7 linked regions of the Callithrix jacchus genome follow. The protein of the gene in region 5 interacts with the protein of the main gene of each other region in a pairwise test. Links are inferred from orthologs where the notes say so. Each region holds a gene or a part of one and is shown on either strand. Other genes may lie near its edges.

Region 1 (4,431 bases), on a different chromosome or scaffold from region 5:
AAAAAAAAAAAAAAAAATAAGACACTGGCAAGACTAAGGAAAGTAAAAAGAAAAGAAAAAAAGGTTTTTTAAAAATTGAAAATACCAAGTGTTGGAGATGATGTGGAGTAATAGGAACCGTGGTACATTGCTGGTGGGCATGTAAAACAGTGCAGCCAGTTGCTTTGACAGTTCCACAAAAGTTAAACAAGATGTCCATATGACATAGCAATTCTGCACTTACGTATAAACCCTAAAGAATTCAAAATAGGTACTTAAATACTTGTGAATGTTCGCAGCAGCGCTATTTACAATAACCAAGAGGTGGTAACAACCCAAATGTTCATCAATGGATGAATGGATAAATTGTGGTCTATACATCCAATGGAAAATAAATTTGGTGATAAAAAAGAATGAAGTTTATTCAGTGATAAAAAAAGAATGAAGTTCTGACATACACTACAACATGGATAAACTTTTTTTTTTTTGAGACGGTGTTTCGCTCTTGTTACCCAGGCTGGAGTGCAATGGCGCAATCTCGGCTCACCGCCATTACAGGGGTGAGCTACCGCACCCGGCCAGAACTCTTAAAACATTGTGAGGGCCGGGCTCCGGGCGCGGTGGCTCATGCCTGTAATCCCAGCACTTTGGGAGGCCGAGGCGGGTGGATCACGAGGTCAAGAGGTCATCCTGGTCAACATGGTGAAACCCCGTCTCTACTAAAAATACAGAAAATTAGCTGGGCATGGTGGCGTGTGCCTTTAATCCCAGCTACTCAGCAGGCTGAGGCAGGAGAATTGCCTGAAACCAGGAGGCGGAGGTTGCGGTGAGCCGAGATCGCGCCGTTGCACTCGAGCCTGGTAACAAGAGCGAAACTCCATCTCAAAAAAAAAAAAATTTTAAGTGAAAGAAGCCAGACACAAAAGGCCACACATTGTATAATTCCATTTACATAAAATGTGTAGAATAGGTAAATTCAGAGAAAGAGTAGATTAGTGGCAGTCCCTGTCTTGCTGGGAGAGATAAATGGGAAGTGATTGTTAATAGGTGAGGGGTTTCTTTTTGGGGTGATGAAAATAATCTGGAATTACATAATGGTGATTGTGACACAATCTTGTGGACACACCAAAAAACACTGAATTATGCACTTATATTTTCTCTTTTTAGGCTGGGCGCGGTGGCTCACATCTGTAATCCCAGCACTTTGGGAGGCCGAGGCAGGTGAATCACGAGGTCAGGAGTTCAAGACCAGCCTGGCCAACATGGTGAAACCCAGTCTCTACTAAAAATACAAAAAATTAGCTGGCGGTGGTGAGCGCCTGGAATCCCAGCTACTGAGAAGGCTGAGGGATGAGAATCACTTGAACCCGGGAAGTAGGGGTTCCAGTGAGCCAAGATCGTGTCACTGCACTCCACCATGGGCGACAGTGCGAGACTCCGTCTCGGGGTGGGGGGGAGGAAGGAAAAAAAAAAGAAACTTTTAGCTTACAGAATCAGCTCAACAAATTCCTCAGCATAGCCCTCAGGGCCTTTCATTTTCTGGCCTCCCGCACTCCAGCCATCTCAACCGTTAAGTACACAGATCCCGGAAAAGGGTGCTCCATAACCGACGCTTGATCACCTCTCCAGCACTCAACCGGCTTTTTAGCGTCCCGTTCTTAGACGCTCCAGCAAGATGAGCAGCTTATCTTCTTCGACCTTTGCTTAACATACAATTCTATCATACCTATTTGCCTGCGCGCCTGCCCTGCCACACAGTACCAGAATGTCAAGGCCTGTGGCTTGTTCATCTTCATATACCCTGCTTGGTGCACAGAAATGAAGCAAACAGATAAATTCTTCAAATGATCTTTTCAACGAATTTAAGTAACAGAAACGTGAAACGGACAAAAGCTACGGAAGGCTGTCTCCCCAGACAGAAACTGGGACTCAACACAAACGTAGCGGAATTTGAGGAGAAACCTGTTTAATCTCCTGACTCATGCGTATTGTCTTCCAGTCTAACAACATGCCCACAATAAAGATGGATTCTGCTAGCCCCGATTCCGCCTTTATAGTACGCATAGCAGCCATCTTTCTTAAGGGTAAGGAGCAACCCGGAAGATCACACCCTACCTTTTTCAGAAATGCAGGACGCCTTTAAATCATGGAGAGTCCAATCGGAATCGACATTTTCACCGGAACCGCTCGGCTTCACGACCGGAAGAGGCTGTGCGTAAGAGCGTTGGGGGCGGAAGTGACGGGAAAGTGGTAGTTGGGTAGTTGGCGGGTGGTTGAGTAGAGCCGGTCGCCATGTCCGCGGGGAGCGCGACACATCCTGGAGCTGGCGGGTAAGGCTTCAGGGGCGAAGGCATCGGAGCGAGTACTGTGGCACGGGAGAGATGGAAGGACCCTGAGAAGCTGAGTTTGGGGTGGAGGGGCCCTTAAGTGGGAAGTGGGGGCTTGGGCGTTCGGGGAGAAGGATCTTGAGCAGGCCTGGGGCCCTTAAAGGGCCGGCGGGGATCTGAGGGAGGAGGGAAGCGGGGATTTTTGGAAGGGCGAGCCAAGGGGAAGGAAACGAGAGTGCACAGGGCAGAGTGGAGTCGTTGGATAAAGATGACAGTAGAAAGGAAAGATTTGGGGGAAGCGTTTGAAAGAAGTGGTTAAAATAGCAATAATCGTTTAAGAAGAGGGGAGTTGTAGATTTGGAAGGTGATTCGGAAGTGGATATGAAATATAATAGAGGGAAAATGGGGTGCTAAGGCATAGTAAGGAAAGAATAACATACATGAAAGCTTTGGGGCCTAATGTTTTTTCTTTTTCTACATATAGGCGCCGCAGCAAATGGGACCAACCAGCTCCAGCCCCACTTCTCTTCCTCCCCGCAGCGGCCCCAGGTGGGGAGGTCACCAGCAGTGGTGGAAGTCCTGGGGGCACCACAGCTGCTCCTTCAGGAGCCTTGGATGCTGCTGCCGCTGTGGCTGCCAAGATCAATGCCATGCTCATGGCAAAAGGGAAGCTGAAACCAACTCAGAATGCTTCTGAGAAGGTATTTGAAATTGATGGGTCTCCACTAATTGTGAATTACTAGTTGTTTCGTAATCCTGTGATCTCATAATCATTTGCGTTAGTTAAAAATGGATATAGTCGTTTAGAGATCATTTAGTTTTGGAATATTCCAGATGACATTTTGTCACAAATACATATTTACGAGGCATTTTTGATTGGGCTGATTACATTTATGGACCAAATACCTTGTCTTGTCCTTGTTCACTTAGTTCACCTTGAGTTATATTTCCATAGTCATTTAAAGCAACATAACATGTTTTTAACGTGTGCTTTTTCCCTGAAGTCAAAAGAGAAGTTTAGGTAAATCAAGTGAGCTTCAAAGTGTCATCTCTAATTAAAACCTGAAGTGGGTTTTTTGTTTGTTTTTTGTGTTTTTTTTGAGACAGAATCTCATCTGTCACCCAGGCTGGAGTGCAGTGGTACGATCTCGGCTTACTACAACCTCTGTCTCCCGGGTTCAAGTGACTCTCCTGCCGCAGCTTCCCAAGTAGCTGGGATTACAGGCACATGCCACCATGCCTGGCTAATTTTTTTTTTTTTGTATTTTTAGTAGAGACAGGTTTTGCCATGTTTGCCAGACTCCTTTCAACCTCCAAAGTGCTGGGATTACAGGTGCAAGCCACCATGCCCAGACTTGTTTGCAAAGACTGTGTGAGTCAGTTGTCCATTTCTAAGGTTTATGGGGAAAAATTAAAGCATCTTGACAGGCCTGGCACGGTAGTTCACACCTGTAATCCCATCACTTTGGGAGGCTGAGGCGGGAGATCATCTGAGGTCAGGAGTTTGAGACCAGCCTGGCCAACATGGTGAAACCCCATATCTAATAAAAATACAAAAAGTAGCTGGGCATGGTGGCACATGCCTGTAATTCCAGCTACTTGGGAGGCAGAGGCTGAGGCAAGAGAATCGCTTGAACCAGGAGGCAGAGGTTGCAGTGAGCAGAGATGATGCCATTGCACTCCAGCTCGGGTGACAAGAGTGAAACTCTGCCTCAAAAAAAAAAAGGCATTTTGTCAAAGATGGAATGCTCCTTGCTCTTTGTATATTAAGATTCTTAATACTGATGTCAATCATTTAAGGATTTTTTTTTCTTTAGAATAATACTTTTTTTTTTTAACATAGAGATGGCATTTCACCATGTTGGCCAGGCTGGTCTCAAACTCCTGACCTCAGGTGATCCACCCACCTCGGACTCCCAAAGTGCTGGGATGGGCGTGAACCACCTCGCCCAGCCAAATAATACTCTTTTTTAAAAAAGATATTTGACCTCACCAGGATACATAAATACTGGATTTAGAATCATAAAACCTAGGCTTGAGACTCATTATCCACAGTTACTGGTTATGTGGCTTTGGCATAATGAAACTCAGCTTTGTTGGTAATATATACCTGCATTGTCTAGTG
Region 2 (3,792 bases), on a different chromosome or scaffold from region 5:
GAGACCAGCCTGATCAACATGGTAAACCCCGTCTCTACTAAAGATATAAAAATTAGCCAAGCATGGTGGCACGTGCCTGTAATCCCAGCTATTTAGGAGGTTGAGGCAGGAGAATTGCTTAAAGCTGGGTGGTGGAGGTTGCAGTGAGTCGAGATTACGCCGCTGCACTCCAGCCTGGGTGACAGAGCAAGACTTCATCTCAAAAAGAAAAAGAAAGTATGCCCTATTGTGACATAATCATCACTGTATATATCTGTGTATACTATGGATCAATCATTCCCCCTTAAATATAACAAAATTCAAATTAAGTCTGAAATTCTATAGCCAACCCTAAAATTTACATAAAACTGCTACTCAGATTTTATAATACGGGTCTATATACTATATTTTGTGGTATCTCTGCTCTATCAAATTACAGCTCCTGGGCTTAAGAGATCCTCTTGCCTCAGCTTCCCAAGTAGCTGGGATTACAGGCACATGCCACAGTGCCTGGCAAATTACAAATTATTTTAATGCAGGACTCTCTCTCCTTCTCTGATCACCCTACAATACTCTAAACACAAAAGGCACACATCTCTCTGGTTTTTCTTGTTCCATAGACTGCCCAGGGGACCAATCAGACATTGCTTATTCAAAAGCAATGGGATAGCCAAGGTATCAAAAGAACTTTGGAAGATTTCATAGGAGTCGCAGAATTTTTTTTAATAAAGAGAGATACTGGGAAATGAGTAGAAAGATAGGCTACTTGACACTGCTAATATTGAAAGAGGCCAGGATTAGTCAGCAAATATAGAATAAGAAGTGTAGTAGTTAAGGAGGCACTGACAACTCTTTCAAGTGTTTCACTCATGGCACCAGGTGACCAGCAATATGCCGTGTAGCAAATGGTAAGCTCTCAAGAATATAATAAATAATAGTTACTTTTTGGTATCCTATCTACAAGTGCATTGCAGAGAAACCTCTACAAAGAGACATCAGTGAGGTCTACAGCTCAGGTACCAGTGGAGTCACATTCTAAAACAACTTATAGGCCTCAAATCAAACATAAAATCTTAGAACAATTAGTTTATAGGTAGTAGTAAGAAGGGGAAAAAAAAAAAAGGAAATATGGAGAAAGATTAAAACCAAAACTCCTGTTATCTAAAAAAAGACAAAGCTACCAATTATTTCTTTGGATATTTCAACCCATGAACTTGGGTAGTTCATTATCATAATATGATGATGACACAATTCACCTCTTCTACTTTAACGTCTAAGTACCTCTCTTGAACATTTGGTGCTCTAAATCGTGGACATCAAAGTGTGAACTGGCAAGCTCAGCAACTCTGTTACCATTCAAAACAGTCCTGAGCTCATTAGATAGTAAATTGTAACCTACCTTTAGCTCTCGTTTTCTGCTCCTGTCACTGCTAGACTTGGAATGCCTAGAGCTTCGGCCTTCCTCCACAGCCTCAAACAGTTTGTCCACAAATCGCAGAGTAGAATCATCAAGAAAAGGTTTCAGATGATCTGACAGGAAAAAAGGCGGTGGTAGGATTGGAAAGATAAGAGTATATACACTAATACTAGGCCTAGAACAGGTACCAACACTGGAATTTCACTCCTAGGAGTGAAACAAATTTTAAGTTCTTTGCAGGATTCCCATCTCTCTTACAGTGAATGACCTTGCCCTTTGAGGTGAAAATACTTATAATTTTTTAGAGTGGGAAGTCAGTCAGAATAACCTATTTAGGTTGAACATCAAGTTTAAGATGAATAATCGCCAGGCGTGGTGGCTCACGCCTGTAATCCTAGCACCTTGGGAGGCTGAGGTGGGTGGATCACCTGAGGTCAGGAGTTCAAGACCAGCCTGTCCATCATGGTGAAACCCCATCTTAAAAAACATATAAAATATATATATTAAAAAAAAAAAAGAGATGAATAACCACCCTAACCTTTCCCAAATAGCAAGCTGTAGGAGACTACCATTAACAAAATCTGCCTCCTTCAAGCTTTTTCACGTATTTCATAAAGACTTTTATATGTTGAGATGTCAATCTGAATAACTGAACATGCCTATCTGACTTTAGCATACTTCCTAAGTAAATCTAACTTGGGTGACTCAGTATGGTAGCCAAAGGAAGATTTAAAATATATCACAAATAACATAAAAAATAAGCAATAAGAGAAAAAGCAAAATTATTATTTAGGCTACTTGCAGTAAAATACAAATGAAAATAAAATGTGGCCTGCCCTTTTTTTAGACGTTCCCAACAGAGAGAATTTTGGGGAAGTTCAAAGCAGTGTTTGGGATCACCCTGTAAGTTAAGACAAAAGCTGCAGAAAGGTACATACCAGCCGCCTTTTTCTTGTCCATGCCCTTCCCCACACAGTTCAATGCTGCTGTGACCACTGTAGGCTCTGAGAAACCCAGCACCCTCTTCACTGTCTTCTCTATCCATGGTTTCAGCTCATCCAGCTCCCTCTTAGACAATGCCATTTTTGAGGAAAAAGAGTACAATAGCTCAAACAGGACTCAATACTACACCTGAAAAAAAAAAGAGACAAGTTAGATAATAAGAAAAGACTACAGTAGGCCAGGTGTGGTGGCAATCCCAGCACTCTGGGAGGCCGAGGTGGGTCATTTAAGGTCAGGAGCTCGAGAACAGCCTGACCAACATGGTGAAACCTCGTATCCACTAAAAATAATAAAAATGAGGCCGAGTGTGGTGGCTCATGCCTGTAATACCAGCACACTGGGAGGTCAAGGCAGGTGGATCACAAGGTTAGGAGTTCAAGACCAGCCTGACCAATACTGTGAAACCATCTCTACTAAAAATACAAAAATTAGCTGGGCATAGTGGCATGTGCCTGTAATTGCAGCTACTCAGGAGGCTGAGGCAGGAGAAATGCTTAAACCCAGGAGGCAGAGGTTGTAGTGAGCCAAGATTACAACACTGCACTCCAGCCTGGGAGACAGAGTGAGAATCCGTCTCAAAAAAAAAAAAAAAGTAAAAATGAGTTGTGCGTGGTGATGAACCCCTGTAATCTCAGCTACTCAGGAGGCTAAGGCAGGGGAATTGCTTGAACCAGCGAGGTGGAGGTTGCAGTGAGTCGAGATCATGCCCTTGCACTCCAGCTTGGGCAACAAGAACGAAACTCCATCTCAAAAAAAAAAAAAATTAAAGTGGATCCAGGGAAATGTTAATATATGAGGAATGCATTCTCCACCTCTATTCTCAATCCTAGACAAGTTCTGCCAACTCATTTGAAGGCAAATATTTTCCCCAAGAACCATATCTCAAAACAGAAAGAGATTCTATTTTTTTTTTTTCTTTTTGAGACAGTTTCGCTCTGTCACCAGGCTAGAGTGCAGTGGGGCAATCCTGGCTCACTACAACCTCTGCCTCCCGGGTTCAAGTGATTCTTCTGCCTCAGCCTCCCAAGTAGCTGGGACTACAGGTGCATGCCACCACGCCATGCTAATTTTTGTGTTTTTAGTAGAGATGGGGTTTCACCATGTTGGTCAGGATGGTCTCAATCTCTTGATCTTGTAATCCACCTGCCTTGGCCTTCCAAAGTGCTGGAATTACAGGTGTGAGCCACCGTGCCCCGCCCCATTTGATTTTTAACTCTTTAACTCTTAAGTTGACCAATGAAAACTGTGGAATAAATAAACTCTGTGAATAAGCTAAGCCTGAGAAATGAGACTTAGCTTTATCCTGTCATATCAACAAGGACTTGCAAATATAGCAACACTAAAACAAAACTAAAAAAGCCCATTCAGGGGCCAGCTTTTCCATTCTCCGTACT
Region 3 (4,239 bases), about 12 Mb from region 5:
GGCAGGAAAAACACTTGAACCCAGGAGGTGGAGGTTGGGGTGAGCTGGGATCGCCCCCTTGCACTCTTATTGGGCAATAAGAGCGAAACTCCATCTCGAAGTAAATAAATAAAACCAGGATTCTATGTCACCAGTGTGCCCCCAGCACTGCCTGATACTGGTTGGGTAGCACACTCTAAAAGCATATGCAATATTTACATTCCTGATTTTGTCTTTTTTTTTTTTTTTTTTTTTTTTTTTTTGAGACAGTCTCACACTACCGTCCTGGCTGGAGCACAGTGGTGCGAACTCTGCTCACTAAGACCTCTACTTCCTTCCCGTGTTCTGGGAGGGAAAAAGTAAAAAATTGCAAAAAAAAAAAAACACCCAAAAACCTCCGCTTCCTGGGTTTCAAGTGATTCTTCTGCCTCAGCCTCCCGAGTAGCCGGGGCTACAGACATGCACCGCCACACCTGGCTAATTTTTGTATTTTTAGTAAAGACAGGGTTTCAGCATGTTAGCCAGGCTGGTCTCGAACTCCTGGCTTTAAGTGATCTACCCGCCTCTGCCTCCCAGTGTGTTGGGATTACAGGCGTGAGCCACTGCGCCTGGCTGTAGGCTATGCTTTCCTCAAGCGCAACTTCACTGGTAACCTCAAACTGAATCCCAGCAAGCTCCTTCGCTTCTCCCGACAATTTTCTTGAGGTGATAAGAGCTAACATTTATCCAGCCCTTCCTAGCTGCCAGGTACCATAAAACAGAAACACTTAGAGATTTAGCTAATTTAATTTCCCCCAACATCGATGCAAAGAAGGTATTATGACTTTGTTCAGTTTTCAGACACAGAAAATGAGGTTCAATAAAGGTGATAATTTACTTGAGAAAGCTGTAGAGTCTTGCCGATTTCAATAATCAAGTTCTTTTTTTACATAGGTTCTTGCTCTGCCCAGGCTGCAGTGCAATCATAGCTCACTGCAGCCTCAACCTCTGTAGCTCAAGCGATCCTCCCATCTCAGCCTCCTGAGCAGCTGGGACCACAGACGTGACCCACCCATGCCCAGGCTTTTTTTTTTTTTTTTTTGTAGAGACAAGATCTCGCTTTGTTGCCCAGGCTGATCTTGAACTCCTGTGTTTAAGTGATCCTTTCGGCCTGAGCCACCACGCCCTGCCAAAAACGGGAGTTAGATACCGGTGGCTATGTGACCCAGGCCAAGTCACATCACCCCAGTCTCAGCTTATTTGAGGAATGGGAATAACAAAAGCCTTCTTTCTTCCTACAGGCTTGTTTTGAGGATTAAATGTAACCAAGATTGGGAGCGGTGGCTCACGCCTGTAATCCCAGCACTTTGGGAGGCCGAGGCGGGCGGATCACAAGGTTAAGAGATCGAGACCATCTTGGTGAAATCCCATCTCTACTAAAAATACAAAAAATAGCCGGGCATGGTGGCACGTGCCTGTGGTCCCAGCTACTCAGAAGGCTGAGGTGGGAGAATCGCTTGAACCCAGGAGTCGGATGTTGCAGTGAGCCGAGATTGCGCCACTGCACTCCAGCCTGGGGATAGAGCAAGACTCCGTCTCAAAAAAAAAAAAAAAAAAAAAAAAAAAAAAAAAAAATAGCGCATAGACCAGCCCATGATACAGAGCGTTAGCCCCAGTACGGTACATTTTCACTGTGCACTGATCACTGAAAACGCCGGTGACCAAGAAGCCCCAGGCGTTGCCCTCATGGAGCTCAAAGGCCACTGGGAGGAGAGAGAGCCCCACGACAGCCCAGAGGAATCCGGGCTTGATGGAAGGAAGTCAGGGGCAGCCACGTGAAGGGACGCAGGATAGGGAAGGCTTCCTGGAGGAGGGGTCCTGTGTCCTGAAACCTTGTAAGATGAGCAACAGTGACCAGGTTAAAGGGCAGAGTGTAAGATGAACTAACGAGTGTTGAAGACAGAGGAAGTCGTTTGTGTAAAGGCCAAAGGGTTCACTGGAACAGTTTGCTTGGACGAACACTGAGAAAGAAAAGCAGGTGCAGGGGGTGGAAGGGAGACCAGCCCGTGCGGGACAGCCTGGAGTGCGGACTATCCCGAGAACTCACCATCCTTCTTGATCTTCTCATTGAGGTTGTTGATATAAATAGTGTGGTTAGGGCGGGTCTCGGGAACTGCCATGGAGTGAAGTGTCGAGGTAAGGCTTAAACGAGAAATAACGTGACTTTAGCCCTGGTTTTCTCCAAATCCTTTGTCCCAACGTTGGCTTAACGGGGGGCTCAAGGTTCTTCCTTCCGAGAGGAAGTCAGGTAAGGCGGGAGTGGGAAGGACGGAGGCACAGCGTGGGCAACAAAGCGTGCGTAGGACCCACTTCTCGAGCCCGCGTGCAGAGGGAACTCTCGAGAGATTTACTACGAGTTCCAGGATGCTCTACGCGACCCAGTGGGCGGAGCCCCCTAAATGGCGGTTCCCATTGGTCGACGCGTCCGAAGGGCAGTCCGGGAGAAAAAACCCGGATGTAAGAGCCAGTAAAGGAAGAAAGGATGGGTCTTGGGCAGCCTGGCCTCGAGAGGCAGAAGTTTCCTCAGACGGGCACAGGAAGGCCCGGACGCCAAGCGCACCGCCCGCCTTCCGCCGATGTTAGTCTGCGCCCGAGGTTACCTTCCGATGGGGCCGCAGTTTTCTCAACTGGCGCCTGCTACTTTTCTGAGACCAAACCACAAAGCTTTCTCTCCTGGCCCCGCCTCTACCTTTCTGTCAGCCAATCCCCATGCGGAAACTCAGTAGCTTGCCCAATCAGAGCAAGACTCGTTTCTAGGCTCAGTTCTTGCCAATCAAAACGATATTTGGGTTCCCGCTTAGGTAGAAAAACTCCGCCCCACTTTCGACAAGCCCACCTCCTTCCGTAGCTCCCGAGTCTACGGACCAATCAGTGAAGGTCACGATTGTTTTGCCAATCGGGACGCGTTTCGAACTGCGGTGTCTTCCGGAGGCAAGCCTGTTTGAAGCCCCGCCTCTTCCCCGCGTGAGATGCGTTTTCTGTCACGTGATCGCCAAATGGGCGGGCACTATTGAGGGTGATACCACATAATATGGGAAAGGCTGTGTGCGGGGGCCGCCATTTTGCGGGAGTGGGCGGCTCATTTTACTTCCTGACTCCTTTCCCTGTTCCACCGGTTATCGCGGCGCCCTCCAGCCTGTGATCTCTGAGTCTTCTCCAACCCACGGAGGTTTTTTATTGCTCTGACTCCAGGACCTTCTCCACAACTAGGCCACTTTCCCTGCCAGGTGTCCTTTTTGACCTCTTGCCTCTGACTCAAAAGGTCAGCTCAAAGGTTCCGAACTCGGGCCTGGGATGTGAGAGGGGACTGAGTCTAAGTTCTCCGAATCTTTAGCCCCGGGCCCCTAAGTCGCACCCTTCAGGCACCTCACTCTATGTCTGAGCCTTCATATCCCAGACTTACCCATGAGTTTCCACATTCGGCCCCAGAGAAGGAGTTAACTCCTACTAACTGTCCACCTAAGCCTCCCGAGGTAACAACCCGTCCCCGCCGTGTTAGCCGTCAGGTGCCTTAAGGCTGAGGTCAGCCTCGCAATTCCTGCTCCCACTGTTTCAAATGTTAGCCCTGGTCCTTTCACACCCACTGCTCTGCCCCCAGATTCTGGAATTCAGCTCTTAAACTTTTAAAATTTCCGTCCCTGAGGCCGTCCTCTTGGACGATCCCTCCCTCCCCACCTTCTGAACCCCTCAGCACCTCCTGGAGACCCCAAAATGACTTCACCAAGCTCTCCTCCCCTAAAATCACCAATCCCTCCTCCAAGAACCCCTGTACCCCAAGCCAGCAGCATTCCACCTCCTCCTCTACCCCCAAGTGCCCTGGACTTTTTAGCTTTTTCATCCCGTCCCTGGAGTCAGCAAACTCCTGTTCCCCCACCGCCCCCACTGCCTCCTCCACCCGCTGCCTCGGGGCCTGCTCGCCCTCATGTCTTCGGCCTGGAGAAGAGCCAGCTCCTGAAGGAGGCCTTGGAGAAGGCTGGCCCGGTCCCCAAGGGCAGAGAAGATGTGAAGAGGCTCCTGAAGCTGCACAAGGACCGGTAGGGTCTCCATACCCCACCCACCGCCCAGGCTCTGCCCCAGTTGCTTCTCCGCAGATCACTTCAGCCGCCTCCTCTTGTCTCCTCTTGGGGGGTTCTCGTGTCCTCAAGATCAAACAGCCTGACTATTTAGGACCCCCACGTAGACCCCTTGCGTGGTGGTGTGCCTCCAGCAGTGAAGAAGCTG
Region 4 (4,319 bases), about 46 Mb from region 5:
GAGACCACCGTGGCCAACATGTGAAACCCCATCTCTACTAAAAATATAAAAATTAGGTGGGCGTGGTGGTGGGTGCCTGTAGTCCCAGCTACCCAGGAGGCTGAGGCAGGAGAATCGCTTGAACCCAGGAGGCAGAGGCTGCAGTGAGCCAAGATCGTGCCACTGCACTCCAGCCTGAGTGACAGAGCAAGACTCCATCTCAAAAAAAAAAAAAAAAAAAAAAAAAAAAAAACCACCAGGTCCTGTCCCTCTTCCTTCCACAGCCCTCCAGGGCTCCCACCTCACTCAGAGCAAGAGCCCTGTACTCCCCGAGGCCCACAAGCCCTTTTGGAACTGGCCTGTGTCACCAGCTACAGAGTTGCAGGGCACAGTACAAAAGAAAACTGAAAGGCCCCTTGTTCGAAAATGATTCGGAATTTCAAAACGCAGCAGTAAAGATTCACCCAGGCAGAAGCCCTGCTGGGGGCAGGGGGCCTGGGCAACAGCATGAAGCCCCAGGCCCAGGCCCTGCCTCCATCCCGGGCATCCTGGTGCCAGGCACAGTCCTGCCCCAGGGCCTTTGCACCTGCTCGTCCTGCCTCTGACTGGCACTGCCCCCATCCCCTGTTCTCGCTCCTTGGGGTCCGTTTGTGGAGGAGGAAGCCCTCTCTGACCCTCCCTGCCCTCTGTTCAACCTTGCACCTTCCTACCCCGCCATTGTCCCAGCCGATTTTCCCCGCAGAGGCGTCCCCACCATCTGACCTGCTGGGAATTCAGCTCCTGAATTTATCTCTGTCTGTCTCCAGGCACCTCACCAGGGCAGGGGCCTTGTACCCCCCCCACCCACCCCAGGGCCCTGGAGCAGCCGGGCCTGGCACACAGGCCCTCCATAAAGGTGTCCAAAGAATGGCTTCCCTGAGGAAGGCGGCATGACCGCTGCCTTTCTGCAGAAGAGGAAACTGAGGCCCGGCGAGAACCACCGCCCAGCCAGAGCCAAGGTCACAGAATACGTCCCTGGCACGCGTCCAGGTCGTGCCACCGCAGGGCCGGCGGCTTCGACCTGGGCAGCCGGGTCCCTTTCTCTGACAGATGGGGAAACCGAGGCCAGGCCGGCCGCCAGGCTGGGGCGGGTGGCGGGGGCCGCGGCCCGGGGCGGGGGCGCGCCGGGCCCAAGGTCACCGCGGCGGGCGGGCCCCGGGGAGGCGGGCCGGGGTGGGGATCCGCAGGCCTCCCCGGGCGCGCGCGTCCCCCCCCTCGGCGGCGCGCACGGGGCACGGGCGGCGGCGGCAGGTGGAGCCGGAGCCTCCGCAGCAGCCGAGCCGCGGCCACCGCCGGCGTCGCCGCCATTAGACAATAGCGGTGGGGCCGGGGAGCGGGGAGGCGGGCGGCGGGGAGGGGCGGGGAGGGGCGCCGGGCGCGCAGGAAGCGGGGCCCGGGGCGCGCCGGGGCCGGGCGCGCGGGGAGGGGGCGCAGGAAGCGGGCGAGGCCGGGCGCGGGAGGCGGCGGCGGCGGCCCCGGGAGCTGCCGATCCGCGCCGGGACAAAGGCGCGGCCGCCCGGCGCCCCGAGCAGCCCGAGCCGGGGCGCACAGCCGGGGCGCAGCCCGCGCCCCCCGCCGCGACTGACATGATGTTTCCACAAAGCAGGCATTCGGTAAGCGGGGCCCGCCCGCCCGGCGCCCCCTCCCCGCGCCCCCGCCCCGCGCCCCCCCAGCTCCCGGGCCCTGGCTTCCCTCTCGGGCTCCGAGCCCCGCGCGACCCCCGTCCTGCCGCCGACCCCCGGACACCCCCTCAGTTCCCGATTCTCCCCCAGCTTCCGGGCCCCGAACCCCCCCCCAGCTCCCGGCTTGGCGCCCCCCCCCCCGCCCGCCGGGACAGGCAGGGCCTCGGACGGCCTTGGCCTCGGGCCTGGGGATCTCCGGGAGCCCCGCCAGGCACCTCCAGCGCGGGGCTCCTTTGGGGGCCTGTGGTGGGGGGGACAATCCGAGGCGTCCCCCCTCCCGGAAGAGAGCGCGTCCCCGAGGAAGGGCGCTGGGATTCTGGGGTGGGCTCCCCCCCGGAAGATTTAGGGCGCCGAGAGAGACCCCCTTCCCCAAGGGGACTTTGCAGGGGGGACTCGCTGCCCCTCAACTTGGGGAGGGGGCTCCCTAGGGCGCGTTTCCACCCCCCTCGGAGGCACCCACTCCCGGCGCTTTGGAGGGGCGGTAGAGGGCGTACCCTGCCCCCCACCTAGGGCGGGCCTTAAAACGCACCCCCCACTGCCTGGGGGTGGCGGGGGACGGGGCGGCTCCGGGCGCACCCACCCCCTCAGCTTCCCCCGGGGAGAGGCGGGGGCAGGAAGCGCGGGTGGGGGCCTTGCCAGGGGCGGTAAACACGGGCCCAGGAAGTGGGGCAGGAGGGGGGGCGCCGCAGCTGCGCGGCCGCTCCCTCCTGGCCCGCCCTTGAGGGGGGCCTGGCCCACGCCTGGGCCTGACCGGGGCGCCCCCCTCCCCACAGGGCTCCTCGCACCTACCCCAGCAACTCAAATTCACCACCTCGGACTCCTGCGACCGCATCAAAGACGAGTTTCAGCTCCTGCAAGCTCAGTACCACAGGTGAGGGGCGGGTCGGGGTCCCTGCGCCCGAGAGGGTGAGCCCCCTTGTTCTGCACGGACGGCAGATTGGGAAAATAACGTGTGCTAGGCTCCGACCGAATCGCTTGACAAATACTGAATTCCTTTCTTTAAACAGCCCCAGTTTGTAGAGGAGGAAACCGAGGCACAAAAAAGTTAAATAATTTGCCCAAAGACCCACCTGTGTGACTTCAGAGTCCCTCCCTCCTCCCCAGTCTCCCCCAAGCCCCCCCCCACCCCCCGCTGGATAAAAGACCTTGCGCCAACCAGCTTAGAGCCTGGACTCACCATCCCCCCAACCCCAAAACACATTTTGTAACCTGGTTATGTCTGTCTTTGGCCAGTTTTGGAGAAAGGGTTCCCAGCGCCCATCACGTTCTCCAAGGTGCTTCTCCTTTCAGAAATCTGACCTTTCTGAAGAGTTTGCCATGTAGCTGGTCTAAGGCGAGGGAACTATTGAGTCCTCTTAAAGAAATGTAAGCCCAGGCCGGGCGGTGGCTCACCCTTATAATCCCAGCACTTTGGGAGGCCGAGGCGGGTGGATCACGAGGTCAAGAGATCGAGCCCATCCTGGTCAACAAGGTGAAACCCCGTCTCTACTAAAAATACAAAATTAGCTGGGCACAGTGGTGCGTGCCTGTAATCCCAGCTACTCGGGAGGCTGAGGCAGGAGAATTGATTGAACCCAGGAGGCGGAGGTTGCGGTGAGCCGAGATCGCGCCATTGCACTCCAGCCTGGGTAACAAGAGTGAGAATCCGTCTCAGAAAAAAAAAAAAAGAAAACAAAAGAAAGAAGCTTAAGCCCAGAGAGGTCAGGGATTTCCTCAGGGTTAGTATCCACAGCACTGAGGAAGGGGCAAGGCTGAGGTGGGCACCAGGTCTCTCTCCTGGTGTAAGGATGCAGATTCCCACGTGCCCTGCTCTGGAGGGGCGCAGCAGACCTGGGAGTCTGGAGGAAGTCAGGCCACGCTGAGGCCCACGTTTCAGCCTGGGGGCCCTCTCCTGACTGCAGTTTGCCCATCCTGGAGGGACCCTGGACTTCCTCCAAGTAGAAAGGGGAATCTCGATTTTGAAACTATCCAAACTTTCGGGGTACTCCCTGTGTGCTAAAGACCATATGTGCTTCCTCGTGAGGTCCGGCTGTCGTGCCCATTCTCAAGATGGGCACACTGAGACCCCGACAGTCAAAAGCACTGGAACCAGCTTTCCAGGAAGGCCCCAGAAACTTCTATTTGGGTCCCTGGAAGCATAGGGTTTGAGACTGCCTGGTGGGCCCTGGGGCTGACCTGATTCCACAGGGAAGAGATCAGATGGCCTTCGCAGTGCTGTGTGACCTCCAGTAAGCCAGACGCCCTCTCTGAGCTTTGGAGTCTCCATCTGCTGGGCCTGGGCTTTCTGCTATCCAGAAAGCCCTGCCATATCAGGCACACACTGGATGTTCAAGGCATAACAGCCCCTGGGTGGCCGGATCAAGTCTCACGCTGTCGCCCAGGCGGGAGTGCAGAGGGGCAATCTCGGCTCACTCCAACCTCCGCCTCCTGGGTCAAGTGATCTCCTGTCTCGGCCTCCCAAGTAGCTGGGATTACAGGCACGCGCCACCACTCTCCTAATTTTTGTATTTTTAGTAGAGACAGGCTTTCGCCATGTTGGCCAGGCTGGTCTTGAACTCCCGATCTCAGGTGATCCACCCGCTCGGCCTCCCAAAGTGCTGGGATTACAGGCGTGAGCCA
Region 5 (3,792 bases):
GGATCCGGGACAGGGCCTGGGGAAGGGGTGCTGGTTTCAAGGCAAGTGGACTCTTCCCAGTGCTTGGGCCAGGGCTGGAAGCGGACAGGGCAGGGTAGGCGGGCGTGAGGAAGGTGAAGGGAGTGGACATCAGGGAGGAAGGGGCAGGAAGAGAAGCTCACATCAATCCACCGTGCTCCTCTTTAGCGCCTCTGGTCAAAGGTTTGCTGGGGGGTGGGAGGGAAAGGTATGGGGAGGGGTGACTGGGGACCCTCGTCTTCCCCACATGCCACACCCCCCCAAGGGCACTGAGCCCCAGGATGGGAGCAGGGCCGAGGTGAACAAGCAGCAAGCAGGCCCCCCTCGGCCCTGCCATTTCCCCCCAAACACTCCCACCCCCAGGAAAGAGGAAGTGAGGAAAGGAGACAGGGGCCAGGGGCCAGGAAGGACCAGTCTCTAGCTGGAGAAACTGCTGGGAGAAGGCAGGAGAACTCTGCCTATCCTGCCCTTCCTCACCTAAGGGGCAGAGAACAGAGACGGGAGCCTAGAGAGAAAAAGGCGGTGGAAACCAACACCCCTGGGCCAGAAAAGAAGCCCAGGCTGTGTACACTGCCTCACTCCCAGGAGCTCCCTTCTCCAAGGAGGCAGGGAAGAAAGAAACTGGAGGCAGAGACCAACCCCCTCGAATAGAGTCCCACAGAGAGCCCCAGAGAGTTGACAAGAAGAAACAGGCAGTCAGAGTCAGAGACAGAGAACAGCCCCTTGCAAAGGAAAACACAGAATCAATTCCATGGCCCCAGAGAAAGAACCTATTGCTCCCAGCAACCCACCAGCAACCCCCAATAGAGGAAATGAAAGAAACCCCAGAAACGGGGGAAAAATCGGAATTCAAGACAGACCAAGCAGTAGATCCCTCCCCCAGATCCACACAAAGAAAGATGAGCCACAGAAGGCCTGGGCCCAGATACAGAATCAATGGGCCACCCCCAGGCTGGCCAACACCCACCCCCCACCCGACTCCCAGGCTGGCCCAGCCCGGGGTCCCTGAGCCCTAGTACCTTCGGCGCCGCCTGTCCCGGGAAGCGCTCCGCTGGTCCCGGTTGCGCCGGTCTCTGCTCCGGCTGCGGCGTTTGCGGTCCCGGCTTCGAGAGCGGCTGTGGCTGCGCTTCCTATGCCGATTCTCCTTGTCCCGCTCTGGGCAAGGGTGAGAGGAAGGGGATGCGATGAGCGGAGTAAGGATGTGGACCCAGCCCACCCTGCGCACTGGTGGCTATGTCCCAAGCCCCAGGGAGGCCACCCCCCAAAGGGAAGGGATTCGATGGAGGAAGGGAATTAACAGGCCTCCTAGATCCACAAGCGAGTCCAGGGACCCTGAGGGGACCAGGGGGACGGGCCTGGAAATGCCCCCGGGGTGTAAGATACCTGAGGATGCTCAGGAGGAGCTGGGGAGCCAGAGAAGACAGAGGCTGGCTCCTGGTCCCCCTCGAGGGCTGAGGGGCCTGACCCCAGGGTCGTCCCTGAGAGGGGCAGGGCTAGAGGCTGGGGAATCAAGAGACCCAATGATGTTTTCCTGAAGGGACGCAGAGACCCCTCAGGAAAGACCTCTGCAACCAGCTGGCACCCACAGCCCCATCATCAGGCCTAGAGGTCAGGTGCCAGGCAGGATTTGATATCCCCAGGAAGCAGGGAAACTCAACCCATCCCTTCCCAACCTGGTGAATAATGCAGAAGCAAGCACGCTTCCCCCGGGGAGTGAAGGGCCTTGAAGCAGCTGCAGATGGAGGGTACAGAGCCCTCCTCTGCTTCAGCAGGTCAGGGGAGGAGCTTGCCCTACCCAGACTTTCACCCCAAACCACCTGACTCTCCCTGCCTCGCTCCCTTCAAAGCCAAGTACTGGAGAGGTTGTAGAGTACGGGTGTGTATCTCCGCCAGCCTCCAGACGTCCTATTTTCCTCCAAGGTGGCCACTAGAAACAGAGCCTCACTGGCAAAACCACAGAAACCTCTGCTTCCACCAGACCCTTCAACTCCTGAAGACCAACCCTTCAAGATGGAGGATAAACCATGAGCTGGGGGTGTTCATAAGCACCACTTAGAATTCCCTGAATTCAGAGATACCCAGATTTCTCAACTATCCATGAAACACACACACACACAAGATGCACATGTTAAGGTGCTCATACATGTTAACAAGCATCACCTAGAGTGATGATCCCTGGGGCCAGAGGGGGGAAAAGGCACAGAGGGAGAATGTTAAACTTCAGCCTCACCCAGCATTTTGTTATTCTGACACCAGATGAATGTTGGGAAAAGCATCACAATTCCAAAACCACCAACACTCAGAAAAATATGCACCCAGCGGGGGGAAAAAAACAGTAACAAATAATGTGATGCTTCTTACGACGGAAATCTGTATTAAATAGTTCTGTTTGCAAAAAATTAGCTGGGCATGGTGACGCATGCCTGTAATCCCAGCTACTTGGGAGGTTGAGGCAGGAGAACTGCCTGAACCCAGGAGGCAGAGGTTGTGGTGAGCCGAGATCGCGCCACTGCACTCCAGCCCGGGTAACAAGAGTAAAATTCTGTCTCAAAAAAAAAAAAAAAAAAGTTCTGTTTGTACTTAATCCTCACTACTGCTTCAGAAAAACACTGCTGGGGGCTGACATAATGGATAAGGAAACTGAGGTACAGAGAGACCACAACTTGCCCAAGGCCAAACAGCTAGAAAATGGTGAAGCCGGAATTTCAACTCTGTAAAGCCATCAAGTTCAGCATGAGGCCATGCTCCTGAATTCGGATCAGGCAGGACATTCTGGCTAGAACCACTAATGACAATGCAATTGTCGGCTTGAAGGCCCAAAACCCCAAAATCAAAGACAGAAACGGGGGGGAACAATCAGCAGGACAAGCCAGCAGCGGAGTAAGCACACAGGCATGGCAGCGGGCACAGCGCTGGCTCCACACTTGAAAGATGGACAGGCTGTGAGCCCCAGGAGCCCTTCCTGCTGCTAAGGCTCTGAAACAGGCAGCAGGCAGAAAGGAACACACGCACAGAAAGCAGTGACGCCTGGCTGGGTGCCTGGGACATAGACAAGGAAATTCCCTGTAGACACAGCGAGCAGAGGAAGGCGCTGAAGCAGAAGCGGGCAGGTACAGAAGCTGGCCCGTCCTCCAAAGAGACAAAGACCCACAGCCAGAATGATACGTGTGCGCGGGCAGAGCTTCCCCTACGGCAAGAACCCTCTCCCACACACTGATGCTGGACAGGTAAAAACAGAAAGGGAGTTTCGTTTGCTGAAAACATTGTATTGTGGTCATCTTATGGGAGCAGCTCCGCCAACCCAGGAACCACGCCAGGTCCAGGCACTGGCCTCCCAGCATCAGAGGAGAAACCACAGGAGAACCAGTACGGTGCCATCTAAGGGCCTCAAAGAACGGACCAATCAGCTCGACTTGGTGGTCAGCATAGAGGAACGTGGCTTTGCAGCCAGCCAGAGCTCAAAATCAGTACCTGTTTTTCTACTTACCAACAACATAAAACCATGCAAAAGCAACTGAAGCCTTTAAGATTTGGTTTTTTCTTCTTTAAACGAGGGGGGGGGTCACATCTACTCCACCCAGGTGTTGTGTGGCAGAACAACATGTGGAAAGTGCCTTCGCCTGCCCTTGGCCAACTCTGAAACCATCTCTATGAGAGTGAAAGACTTTCCTCTCTAGGCATGCAATTTTACAATTGCAAGTATTGCTTACTGGACACCTGGTGTAAGCCAGGCCACATGCCACGCACTTTACATGTTACCTCATTTAATCTCAG
Region 6 (4,358 bases), on a different chromosome or scaffold from region 5:
AATCTGTATTGCCCAGTATAGTAGTTGATAGTGATGTGGCTATTGAGCACTTGCAACATCTATATCTCATTTTGAATTGTACTCCCATAATTCCCACATGTTGTGGGAGCAACCCGGTGGGAGATAATTTGAATCATGGGGGTGGTTCTCCCATACTGTTTTCATGGTAGTGAATAAGTCTCACAAGATCTGATGGTTTTAATAGGGGTTTCTAGTTTTGCATATTCCTCATTTTCTCTTGCCACTACCATGCAAGAACTGCCTTTCTCTTCCCACCATGATTCTGAGGCCTCTCCAGCCATGTGGAACTGTATCAATTAAACTTCTTTTTCTTCCCAGTCTCAGGTATATCAGCAGCTTGAAAATGGACTAACACACTGCTCTATTCTTAGCTAAGGCATTCTTAGTTCCTTCTATATTGAGACAAATGATAGTTTCAAGGTCACATACCGTCATACTCCTCTAAAAACATAGAGCCCTTAGGCTGGGTGTGTTGGTTTATTCCTGTAATCCCAGCACTTTGAGAGGCCAAGGTGGGAGGATTACTTAAGCCCAGGAGTTTGAGAACAGCCTGAGCAGTATAGTGAGAGCTGTAATCACACCACTGCACTCTAGCCTGGGAGACAGAGTGAGATGCTATCTGAAAGCAAAAACAAAACAACAAAAAAACACAGACCCCTCAAATGAACATGGCCCATGTGCATGGATATAAGTAACCTGGTACTTCATGCCACAGACTGAGACTTGCTTAGTCCGTTAAGTTTCAAACCACAATCATTATTTGTAATGTTTATACTTGAAAGCAAGTTAATTCATTAACTTACATGTAAGGCATTGTTCAGGTGTTCAGGGGCATAACAGTGACCAAAACTGACAAATGCTGATCTCACAGAAGATACATTAGAGTGAAGAAAATACACAATAAACAGAGTTAGTAGATTATGCGGTATGTTGCAAAATGATAAAGGCTATGGAGAAAAATCTGGTGTACAAATAGATAGGAAATATTGAGGGGATGGGGGGAAGGCTGTTGTTCTCCTTAAAATTCTCCTTAAAATTTTCTCCATGACATTTTTTTAGGCAACATATTTAGAAACTTTACATTTTCTTCTAGTTTTCTTCCCCTTTATATTGAAAAATGTGTTTAAACCACAAGTATACTTACAGTAAACAAACATTCAAATTTTACCCCAATGAAATTTTAAAATGTACACAAACTCTCAGGCAAAAAGTTCACTATTTGAATGTGAAAAAGTGAATGACTGTTAAAATATTTGCAAGCACCAAAAAAATATTATGGCTAAAACGCAGCTACCCTGAGAACTACTATTTCTTAAAAACTCACATTGCATAAAAATATAAAGTCAGATTATCCGACAGGATATAAAACAAAAGCAACACAAAGACAGTTTAAAGATTTAATTTCTCTTGCCCAGTCAGATGAAACAACAAAAACAAAAGGCCCATAAACTTTTTCTTCCATCTTTTAACCAAAATAGTGAGATGCTCAAGCCAAATGCCAAAGAAACAGGAAAGAGAAAGCAATTGTTTAGAAACAGTCTCGATTATGAGATTAAAATCAAAATTTTAATACAATAATAAAATGCAAAAACCAATCGTTATTTTAAAATGTACTGCCCTGATATTCTGCTGCTGAGGTAGGTAGTCATATGTATAAATTCATTTTTCTTTTAAAATGAAAAAATAATGCACCTATTAACAATCATTTCCCAAAATTCGGGGGAAATTCCCAAATCGGAGAAAATGTAACATCAGCATCTACTACACAAAGCATTAAAAACATTTTTCAGCATTTTAGCTACGTATCTTAATTCACTGGTAGTGTGTTGGCCAAAATGTAATCCAAAATGAATGAAAAACACTCAACTGGTAGGCACTTATGTAATACCCTACGGAAATATAATGAGGGTATTTCGAAACTCAACATTTGAATCTGTGAATGTCTAAATCAAGTACTCTAAACTGGGCCTCTACTTTGAAACAATTTTTCAAAATACATGTTACATCTGTAAGAAATCTTTTTAATGACTCAAAATTCCTAAGTCTGAGGAGGGGCGACGGATTCGGCTAAATTTAGATTTCCCAGCCCGGTAGTTGTCAGCCCAGGCAGCGAGTTTAAAACATTGGGGGTTGGAGAGTAGTTTGTAGTTCAGAGCACCCAGTGAAAAGCGCCGGTTCTTCCCCATTCGTGCATTTGAGAGGTCACAACGTAGTAAAGTTTGGTTTCACAAGCGGGCTTGGACGCTCGCGACCAAAGTCTCCCAAGAAAAGCCGATACCAGGGTCGGGAGTGCCCGGAAGCTTAGCAGGACACGTTTACGGCAGGGAGGAGGGTTTCTGCGGCGGTTCTGGCGTGGAGCCCCTTCTTCCCCCGCAGGACCCTGCACCCGGGCGGGGACAGGCATCGCCAGCTAAGGCGGCAGGAGGCGCGTAGGCCACAAGGAGGAAATGGGACGGAGTGCGACAGAGAGGAGGCGGAGGCGGCGGCGGCGGCCCAGAGCCGGGCCTCCCTCGCGGGGCAGCCAGAGGGAAAGGGGCCCTCCCGGCCGCAGCCTCCCCCACCTAGGGAGGCAGCTCTAACTTTCCTCCCAGCGCACTACGCCGCCCGGGCCGCGCGAGATTCCGAAACTTTTGTCAGTCCTCGCGTCGCCCCAGGCCCGCTCCAGCGCTCTGCGCCGGCCTCTAACCCCGGCCTCGCCCGGACAGCTGCCCAAGCCCATCCACCCCGCGGGTCGGCCCGTGTTTACCTCAGGCCGAACTCGAGGTGCTCGGTCCGGCGGCTGCCCCACAGTAGGTTTACAGGTCCCCGTCAATCCGCCGCCAAGTTCCCCAACATGGACTCCTTCGTCCACTTTGAAGGGTTACAGGGTCTCTGGGACACTGACTCCGCTGGCCCGGTCCGGAGGCCGCAGCGACCCAGGTTGCGCTGCTCCGCGCGGCTTGCGCCACCGCTGCTCCCGCTCACCCCGCCTTGTCTAGCCTCCGCCCTCCCCTCCCCGCGCGTCTCCCTCCTCCTCCCTTCGCTCGCTCGGCTCCGCTCCCAGTCGGCGCGCTGCGGTGACGACGGCGGCGGTCGTACTCGCAACACTCTTCCTACTCGCTCATCTGGCCCTGCGTGCACGTCCGCAGCACCCAGCCAGACCGCAGGGGGGCGCTGGCAAACTGCTGTTTGCGACCGAGGAGTGTGGTGGGTGGAGTCACGTCACGAGGGCTGAGAGCGGGAGGAAGGGCAGCAGCGATGGAGGGGCCTTCTGGGAAACGTCCTTCCCTCCCGCCCTTCGCCTACGCCGCGGGGGGTGCGCATGCGCCGCGCGTGGACTTTTTGCCTCAGAGCTCCTTTGGTGGCTTTACGGGCTGCGTCGCTGTGGACAATGAAAGAGGCTTTAAGGGAACTGGACAGGAAGGATTTTGCGTGGGTTGTGCTCTTCTATCTTGATGGTAATCTAATGTTGAAAAGTGTCCGTATGTTTGTAGTGGATTGAGTGTTCACCTGGCGGCGTTGCCCATCAGAAATACAGCCCGCGGGGTGAAGAGTCGGCACCTTTCTTCCTTTCTCCTGGGCATTTTTTTAGATGCTTGAGGGGATAGCTTTCCTGGCTAACTCGCCGAGCTTAGGGCCTTTACCACGTCTTAATCCCACATCGCAAAATTAATTTGGGCCAGGTGCGCGGTGGCTCTCGCCTGTAATAACAGCACTTTGGAGACCGAGGCTGGCAAGTCGCTTGAGCAATGTAGTCCCTTCTACAAAAAATAAAATTAGCCGGCCGTGGAGGCGCGCGCCTGTGGTTCCAGCTCTTCTAGAGGCTGAGGTGGGCTGCGGAGGTTGCAGTCAGCTGAAATCGCGCCACTGCACTCCAGCCTGGGCGACAAAGTGAGACCCTGTCTCAAACAACAAAAACTTGATTATGATTTACTTCAAAGACCTCTGCTTTGTGGTTAGTGACCCGTATGCCATCCTCCACTCCTTCCGGGTGGGTTGTTAAATGTTTTGTTTTACCTCAGAAGTATTTTGGTTTTTTTCAAAGTCACTAACTCTTAAATCTCCTAGTTTCTCTTCTCGTCGACTGCAGCAAGCTCCTGGTTGCCCTGCCTGCCCTCAATGTCCCTCATCTTCTACCAGCAGTCCTTCCAGTCCTCCTGCCCACGCCATTGTCCTGCTTGCGGCTCCCGCGGGACTAAGCTCTGCTCCCTGCGCGCGGCTCACCCAGGTCCCAGTCGCTTTCACCCGCGCGCTCACACCTTTTCCTGTGGTTCTGCCCCCGTTCTAACTGTGTGCGCGCTGCGCTCTCCCAGCCACGCCGACCCCTGCCTGGGATGCTTTCTCCTCACTTTTCCGCG
Region 7 (4,462 bases), on a different chromosome or scaffold from region 5:
GGGCCAAGGAATTACTCAAAAGTGTGCTCTCCAGGTTTGCCTGGCTCAGATCTATGTAAAGGAAAGGAGCAGGGAATTAAGTAAAACTGTTACAAGAAAGGGATACCAATCCAGACCCAAGAGAGGGTTCTTGGATCTTGTGCAAGAAAGCGTTAAGTGCGAGTCCACGGTGCAAAGCAAAAGCAAGTTTATCAAGAACATAAAGTGGTGAAAGTACAGCTACTCCTTAGAGAGAGCAGGGTGTTCCCGAAAGTAAAAGATACACTTGTTTATATAAAGGATAAAAAAAAAAAGATCATGGGAGATGTGCTCTGTTGCAAGGGTTTGTGATAAATGATTAATTACTATATTATGTAAGAATCAATATCATCTTTATGAGACAGTCTCACTCTGTCACCCAGGCTGGGGTGCAGTGGCATAAACATGGCTCACTGCAACCTCCACAGGATCAAGTGATTCTCCTGCCTTAGCCTCCAGAGTAGCTGGGATTTGAGGCATGTGCCACCACATCTGGCTAACTGTTGCATTTTTAGAAAAGAAGGGTTTCACCATGTTAGCCAAGCTGGTTTCGAACTCCTGACCTCAGGTGATCCGCCCACCTCGGCCTCCCAAAGTGCTGGGATTACAGGCCTGAGCTACTGCGCCCTGCCCAATAAAGCAAAATTAGGAATGCTTCTGTTCTCAAAATATCAGGATATCTGGACACTTGGAAGTCTGGGTCTGTTTAGTAAATATTATCAATCTGTTGCCTTAACTGTAAACATCTAGAGACTAGGAATACCTAACTTTCTGGGAATGCAGCCTAGCAAGTCTCAGCCTCATCTTCCTAGCCCTCACTCAACACAGAGTGGCTCCAGTTTATAACCCCTCTGACATAGTCTCTCTCAGATGTGAAAAGTTGCTGCAGCACCTGGAAATCACAGCAATGGACATCCCTTCATAAAAGCTTCTGGAGAGGGCCTGGTGGTTCACTCCAGTAATCCCAGGCCACTAGGAGGCCGGATCCCTTGGGCTTGAGTTCTAGACCGGCCTAGGCAACGTGGGGAGACACCGTCTCCATTTTTTAATTATATATATATATGTGTACACACGCATACATATATATACACACATACATATACATACATACATATTATAATGCTTCTGCGTTTGGCAACTGAGATTATTTGGTGAGTGTGTCTTTCTTCATTCCTAAAAACCTGTCACATTGCTCTCACAGAGCTTTGTGATACCTGAAGAGGCAGGCAATGGGATAAAGATCAGCATTCTGGGAAAAGGTTCCACAATTTTATTAATTATACACGATCTGTGCCTGCCCTTTTAAACAAATGGGAGGAATCAGACAACGACCTCGGCTTTACACCTGTTCTCCAAGAGGCCCCAGTAGTTTCCTACTCTAAGCCGCCCCAGGAAAGCTCCAGATCAATTAATCCGCCGGAACAGCCCGGGGTTTGAGGTGGCCCCTGGAATCCGCCCTCCCGCCGCACCTCCTCCTCCAAGCAGTTCCTTCCTTCCGGCCAGAAGCTCAGGGCTCCGCCCACTTCCGCAATTCCGAAGCCACCACCGGAAACACCTGGCCTCAGCCAATAGTCAGCTTCCCAAGGAAAGGTTACCTCTGACCTCAGAGTAATCAGAGACAGTGGGACGCACCCCTCGCGATAGGTGAGGTTGAAGCTGCCTCCGCCATCTTGGAGATGGGAGAAGGGCGATGGCTGTGGTCCTTCTGCTAATGCAAACAACAAAACGGGCACACTAGTCACTCCCGAGGGAGGCCACCATCACTGTAACTGTTGGCCAAAGCTACAAAAGAAACGAGGGTGTCCAACCGAGCGCGGCGACACTGAAAGCAGCTTCCCCTGCCTTCTGCGGCGGCAGAAGTGAAGTGCCTGAGGACCACCGGAAGGATGGTGCAGTCCTGTTCCGCCTACGGCTGCAAGAACCGCTACGACAAGGATAAGCCCGTTTCTTTCCACAAGTGAGGACCCTGCGCACCTCGTGGGGCCGGTCCCAGCCGGGGTGGGGGCGCGCGGCCGGCGGGGCCGGGGGCGGAGCCAGGCGCGTGTCCGCGCGAGGGGCGGGCGGGGTCTGGGGCCGGCCGCGCGGGGCGTTTCCCGCCGCGTCCCGTGGGGAACCGCCGCCCGGCTGCGCGTTCTCGGCGCGCGTCGCCGTGAAGGCCGTTTCTTGCGCTCCTGAAGCAGGCCCTGGGTGCAGGCTTCGCTCGCGGCCTGGGTTGACGACTGCGGAGCCCGCGGGCAATGCCCCGGGTGGCGCGGATTTTGCCAGCACCAGGGTCACAGACCAGCCAGGTGGAATAACGTCTTAGGGGTGAATTTGAAATAGAAACAAAGGCCTTTAAACGAAGAAATTACTACCTTTTTCGCCCTTACGGTGGATGGGAAGCCAGCATCGTAGCAATTAAGGGTTGATTTTTTGCCTGGGAAATCAGGGAGAATTTTTGCCCCCAATCTCTAAGAACTAAGCTTTAAGGACCCTAAGTTTTGGAGAAAGCTTCAGGTACTGCCAAGATAAATCGTTCTTTTCAGCCCACAATATTGATAATATGGACAGTTACAACATGGATCATAATAAAATGGCTCACACTGACCTTTATTTATTATGGCATTACGTGTGCATAGAGGAAGCCCTTGCGGAGGAAACTCACCACAGCTTTCAGAGCTGTTTTATCCAGTAGATAGCGCAGTTAAGAGTGCTAGGATCAAAAATATTCTCTTGAAAATGGGAAAAACGTGCAAAGTTGAAATTACTATCAAACGCTTGTAAAATGTGACATAATATTTTCATTCATCTGAATTTTAATTACATTTATGTTAAGTTTTCTTTGCAAGATTTCCTCATGACTATACGCGGATGATAGCTAAGAAATCAGATCCAGGGGTAAACTATACAAGTTAGCCATAGGTAATTAGCTAATTATCTTTTATAATTAGGTAAGTAATTACAAAAGCAAAATGTTAAATAGTCTTTAAATTTATTTATATGTTTTGGTGTGGGGCCATCTATGTTTACTAGAGGAGTTTCCATGCATTTTTTAAATGTTTGCTATCATGTGAGATGGACCCTATAGAAATAAGAGTGTGTAGAATATAGGGAGGTCTCCAGAGTAATGATGTTACCCCCTCGAAGTGGATAGAACATGTTCAGGATGTCCCAATATTATCTCTTGATTTAATTGGAATTTCTGTAAACATGTACTTTAAAAATGTAGGAATAGGTCAGGTGATGGTAATAGGATTACATGCACAGCTCCCCAGCCCACATTTCTGATGGCGTGGCAGAAGGAATCATAAAATGGAAAATGTTTCATCAGCACTGGAAACTAGTTAAGGATGGTATTCACAAGTCAGAAGTAACTGTGTTTTTGGCCAGGCGTGGTGGTTCACGCCTGTAATCCCAGCACTTTGGGAGGCCAAGGTGGGCGGATCACCTGAGGTCAGGAGTTCGAGACCAGCCTGGCCAACATGGCAAAACCCTGTCTCTACTAAAAATACAAAAATTAGCTGGGAGCGGTGGTGCACGCCTGAGGCAGGGGAATCACTTGAACCCAGGATATGGAGGTTGCAGTGAGCTGAGATCTCGCGCTGCACTCCAGCTTGGGTGACAGAGGGAGACTGTCTCAAAAAACAAAAACAAACAAAAAAACACTGTGTTTCTACTAGATGTTAAAACAGATGTGAATTGAATCAAAAGAAGGGCTAACCTGAACCTTATCCCTTATCTAAAAGAGCAGGTGTTGGGAGAAGATGGGAAAGATCTTAACAGAGAAGCTCACAAACAGCTGTAAATTTATTGTCCTTGAGACAGGAGGCCCTGCGTACTGAATTTTACCAGCTAATGCTACCATAGTTTATACCTATAGAGGCCATTTCCAGCTGAGATATTTTAGTGGTAACACTTCTCCCAGCTTCTACATAGTGGCAGTAGAGAGAGCTATGTTGTACAAAGAAAAGGGACTCATAAAGATCTCTTAATAGCAGAGTGAAGCTCTAGCATACTGAACATGGAAGAGAAACTGTAGAACATAAATTCACAATGTTCTTCTCTTTGTTTTTTTTTTTCTCCTAATCCCCCCAGTTTACCAGATCCTTAACTTGGAAGAGTAAAACTAATAAATGTAAACTCTCACTTTCCTCCTTTACCTGAGCCTGATGGACATCCCAGTTGATTAGAAAATACTTTTCTCTCATCATTACCTGCCTTTAATTTAATTCAAATTTAACCTATTCATATTTGTCAGACTGATGCTAAAAGAACTAGAATAGAAGCCTCTTTTTCCCAGTACATAGATACAAATGTGCAATCTTTGTCTTTCTGTGCAGCACACAGAAAATTACTGGTAAAAAATAAGAAGACAGATTATTTTTTTCTTTTTGAGACAGGGTATGGCTCAAATATATCTTATATTTATCAAATATATCAAATATATCTTATATTCACTTATATT

What was found.
Region 1: the proteins of U2AF2 (region 5) and KHDC4 interact in binary tests that used the Homo sapiens proteins (3 or more experiments, as listed by UniProt). The two-hybrid records come from large-scale screens. The link is inferred for Callithrix jacchus from reciprocal best matches to the Homo sapiens genes U2AF2 and KHDC4.
Region 2: the proteins of U2AF2 (region 5) and PRPF3 interact in binary tests that used the Homo sapiens proteins (3 or more experiments, as listed by UniProt). The link is inferred for Callithrix jacchus from reciprocal best matches to the Homo sapiens genes U2AF2 and PRPF3.
Region 3: the proteins of U2AF2 (region 5) and SNRPA interact in binary tests that used the Homo sapiens proteins (3 or more experiments, as listed by UniProt). The link is inferred for Callithrix jacchus from reciprocal best matches to the Homo sapiens genes U2AF2 and SNRPA.
Region 4: the proteins of U2AF2 (region 5) and TLE5 interact in binary tests that used the Homo sapiens proteins (3 or more experiments, as listed by UniProt). The two-hybrid records come from large-scale screens. The link is inferred for Callithrix jacchus from reciprocal best matches to the Homo sapiens genes U2AF2 and TLE5.
Region 6: the proteins of U2AF2 (region 5) and SCAF11 interact in binary tests that used the Homo sapiens proteins (3 or more experiments, as listed by UniProt). The link is inferred for Callithrix jacchus from reciprocal best matches to the Homo sapiens genes U2AF2 and SCAF11.
Region 7: the proteins of U2AF2 (region 5) and THAP1 interact in binary tests that used the Homo sapiens proteins (3 or more experiments, as listed by UniProt). The two-hybrid records come from large-scale screens. The link is inferred for Callithrix jacchus from reciprocal best matches to the Homo sapiens genes U2AF2 and THAP1.

The regions. Positions count from the first base shown.
Region 1 is NC_133519.1:16,301,955-16,306,385, reverse strand, and holds the start of KHDC4 (KH homology domain-containing protein 4), read left to right. Parts: upstream 1-1,388; 5' UTR 1,389-2,125; coding exon 2,126-2,190; intron 2,191-2,231; exon of another isoform or gene 2,232-2,271; coding exon of another isoform or gene 2,272-2,309; intron 2,310-2,790; coding exon 2,791-3,007; intron 3,008-4,431.
Region 2 is NC_133519.1:10,249,946-10,253,737, reverse strand, and holds part of PRPF3 (U4/U6 small nuclear ribonucleoprotein Prp3), read right to left. Parts: intron 2,528-3,792; 5' UTR 2,480-2,527; coding exon 2,335-2,479; intron 1,510-2,334; coding exon 1,379-1,509; intron 1-1,378. UniProt on the Homo sapiens protein: Plays a role in pre-mRNA splicing as component of the U4/U6-U5 tri-snRNP complex that is involved in spliceosome assembly, and as component of the precatalytic spliceosome (spliceosome B complex).
Region 3 is NC_133523.1:36,292,384-36,296,622, reverse strand, and holds the start of SNRPA (U1 small nuclear ribonucleoprotein A), read right to left. Parts: upstream 2,970-4,239; 5' UTR 2,855-2,969; intron 2,690-2,854; exon of another isoform or gene 2,619-2,689; intron 2,359-2,618; exon of another isoform or gene 2,161-2,358; 5' UTR 2,139-2,160; coding exon 2,066-2,138; intron 1-2,065. Other genes in the region: ACTMAP (actin maturation protease), read left to right, coding at 3,730-4,052. UniProt on the Homo sapiens protein: Component of the spliceosomal U1 snRNP, which is essential for recognition of the pre-mRNA 5' splice-site and the subsequent assembly of the spliceosome. U1 snRNP is the first snRNP to interact with pre-mRNA.
Region 4 is NC_133523.1:2,836,569-2,840,887, reverse strand, and holds the start of TLE5 (TLE family member 5), read left to right. Parts: upstream 1-1,604; coding exon 1,605-1,631; exon of another isoform or gene 1,632-1,632; intron 1,633-2,473; coding exon 2,474-2,571; intron 2,572-4,319. Other genes in the region: uncharacterized protein LOC128930549, read right to left, coding at 791-1,606. UniProt on the Homo sapiens protein: Transcriptional corepressor. Acts as a dominant repressor towards other family members. Inhibits NF-kappa-B-regulated gene expression. May be required for the initiation and maintenance of the differentiated state.
Region 5 is NC_133523.1:48,521,548-48,525,339, reverse strand, and holds part of U2AF2 (splicing factor U2AF 65 kDa subunit), read right to left. Parts: intron 1,174-3,792; coding exon 1,038-1,173; intron 207-1,037; coding exon 162-206; intron 1-161. UniProt on the Homo sapiens protein: Plays a role in pre-mRNA splicing and 3'-end processing. By recruiting PRPF19 and the PRP19C/Prp19 complex/NTC/Nineteen complex to the RNA polymerase II C-terminal domain (CTD), and thereby pre-mRNA, may couple transcription to splicing.
Region 6 is NC_133510.1:29,354,843-29,359,200, reverse strand, and holds the start of SCAF11 (protein SCAF11), read right to left. Parts: upstream 2,998-4,358; 5' UTR 2,768-2,997; intron 1-2,767. UniProt on the Homo sapiens protein: Plays a role in pre-mRNA alternative splicing by regulating spliceosome assembly.
Region 7 is NC_133514.1:44,607,859-44,612,320, reverse strand, and holds the start of THAP1 (THAP domain-containing protein 1), read left to right. Parts: upstream 1-1,635; 5' UTR 1,636-1,904; coding exon 1,905-1,975; intron 1,976-4,462. UniProt on the Homo sapiens protein: DNA-binding transcription regulator that regulates endothelial cell proliferation and G1/S cell-cycle progression.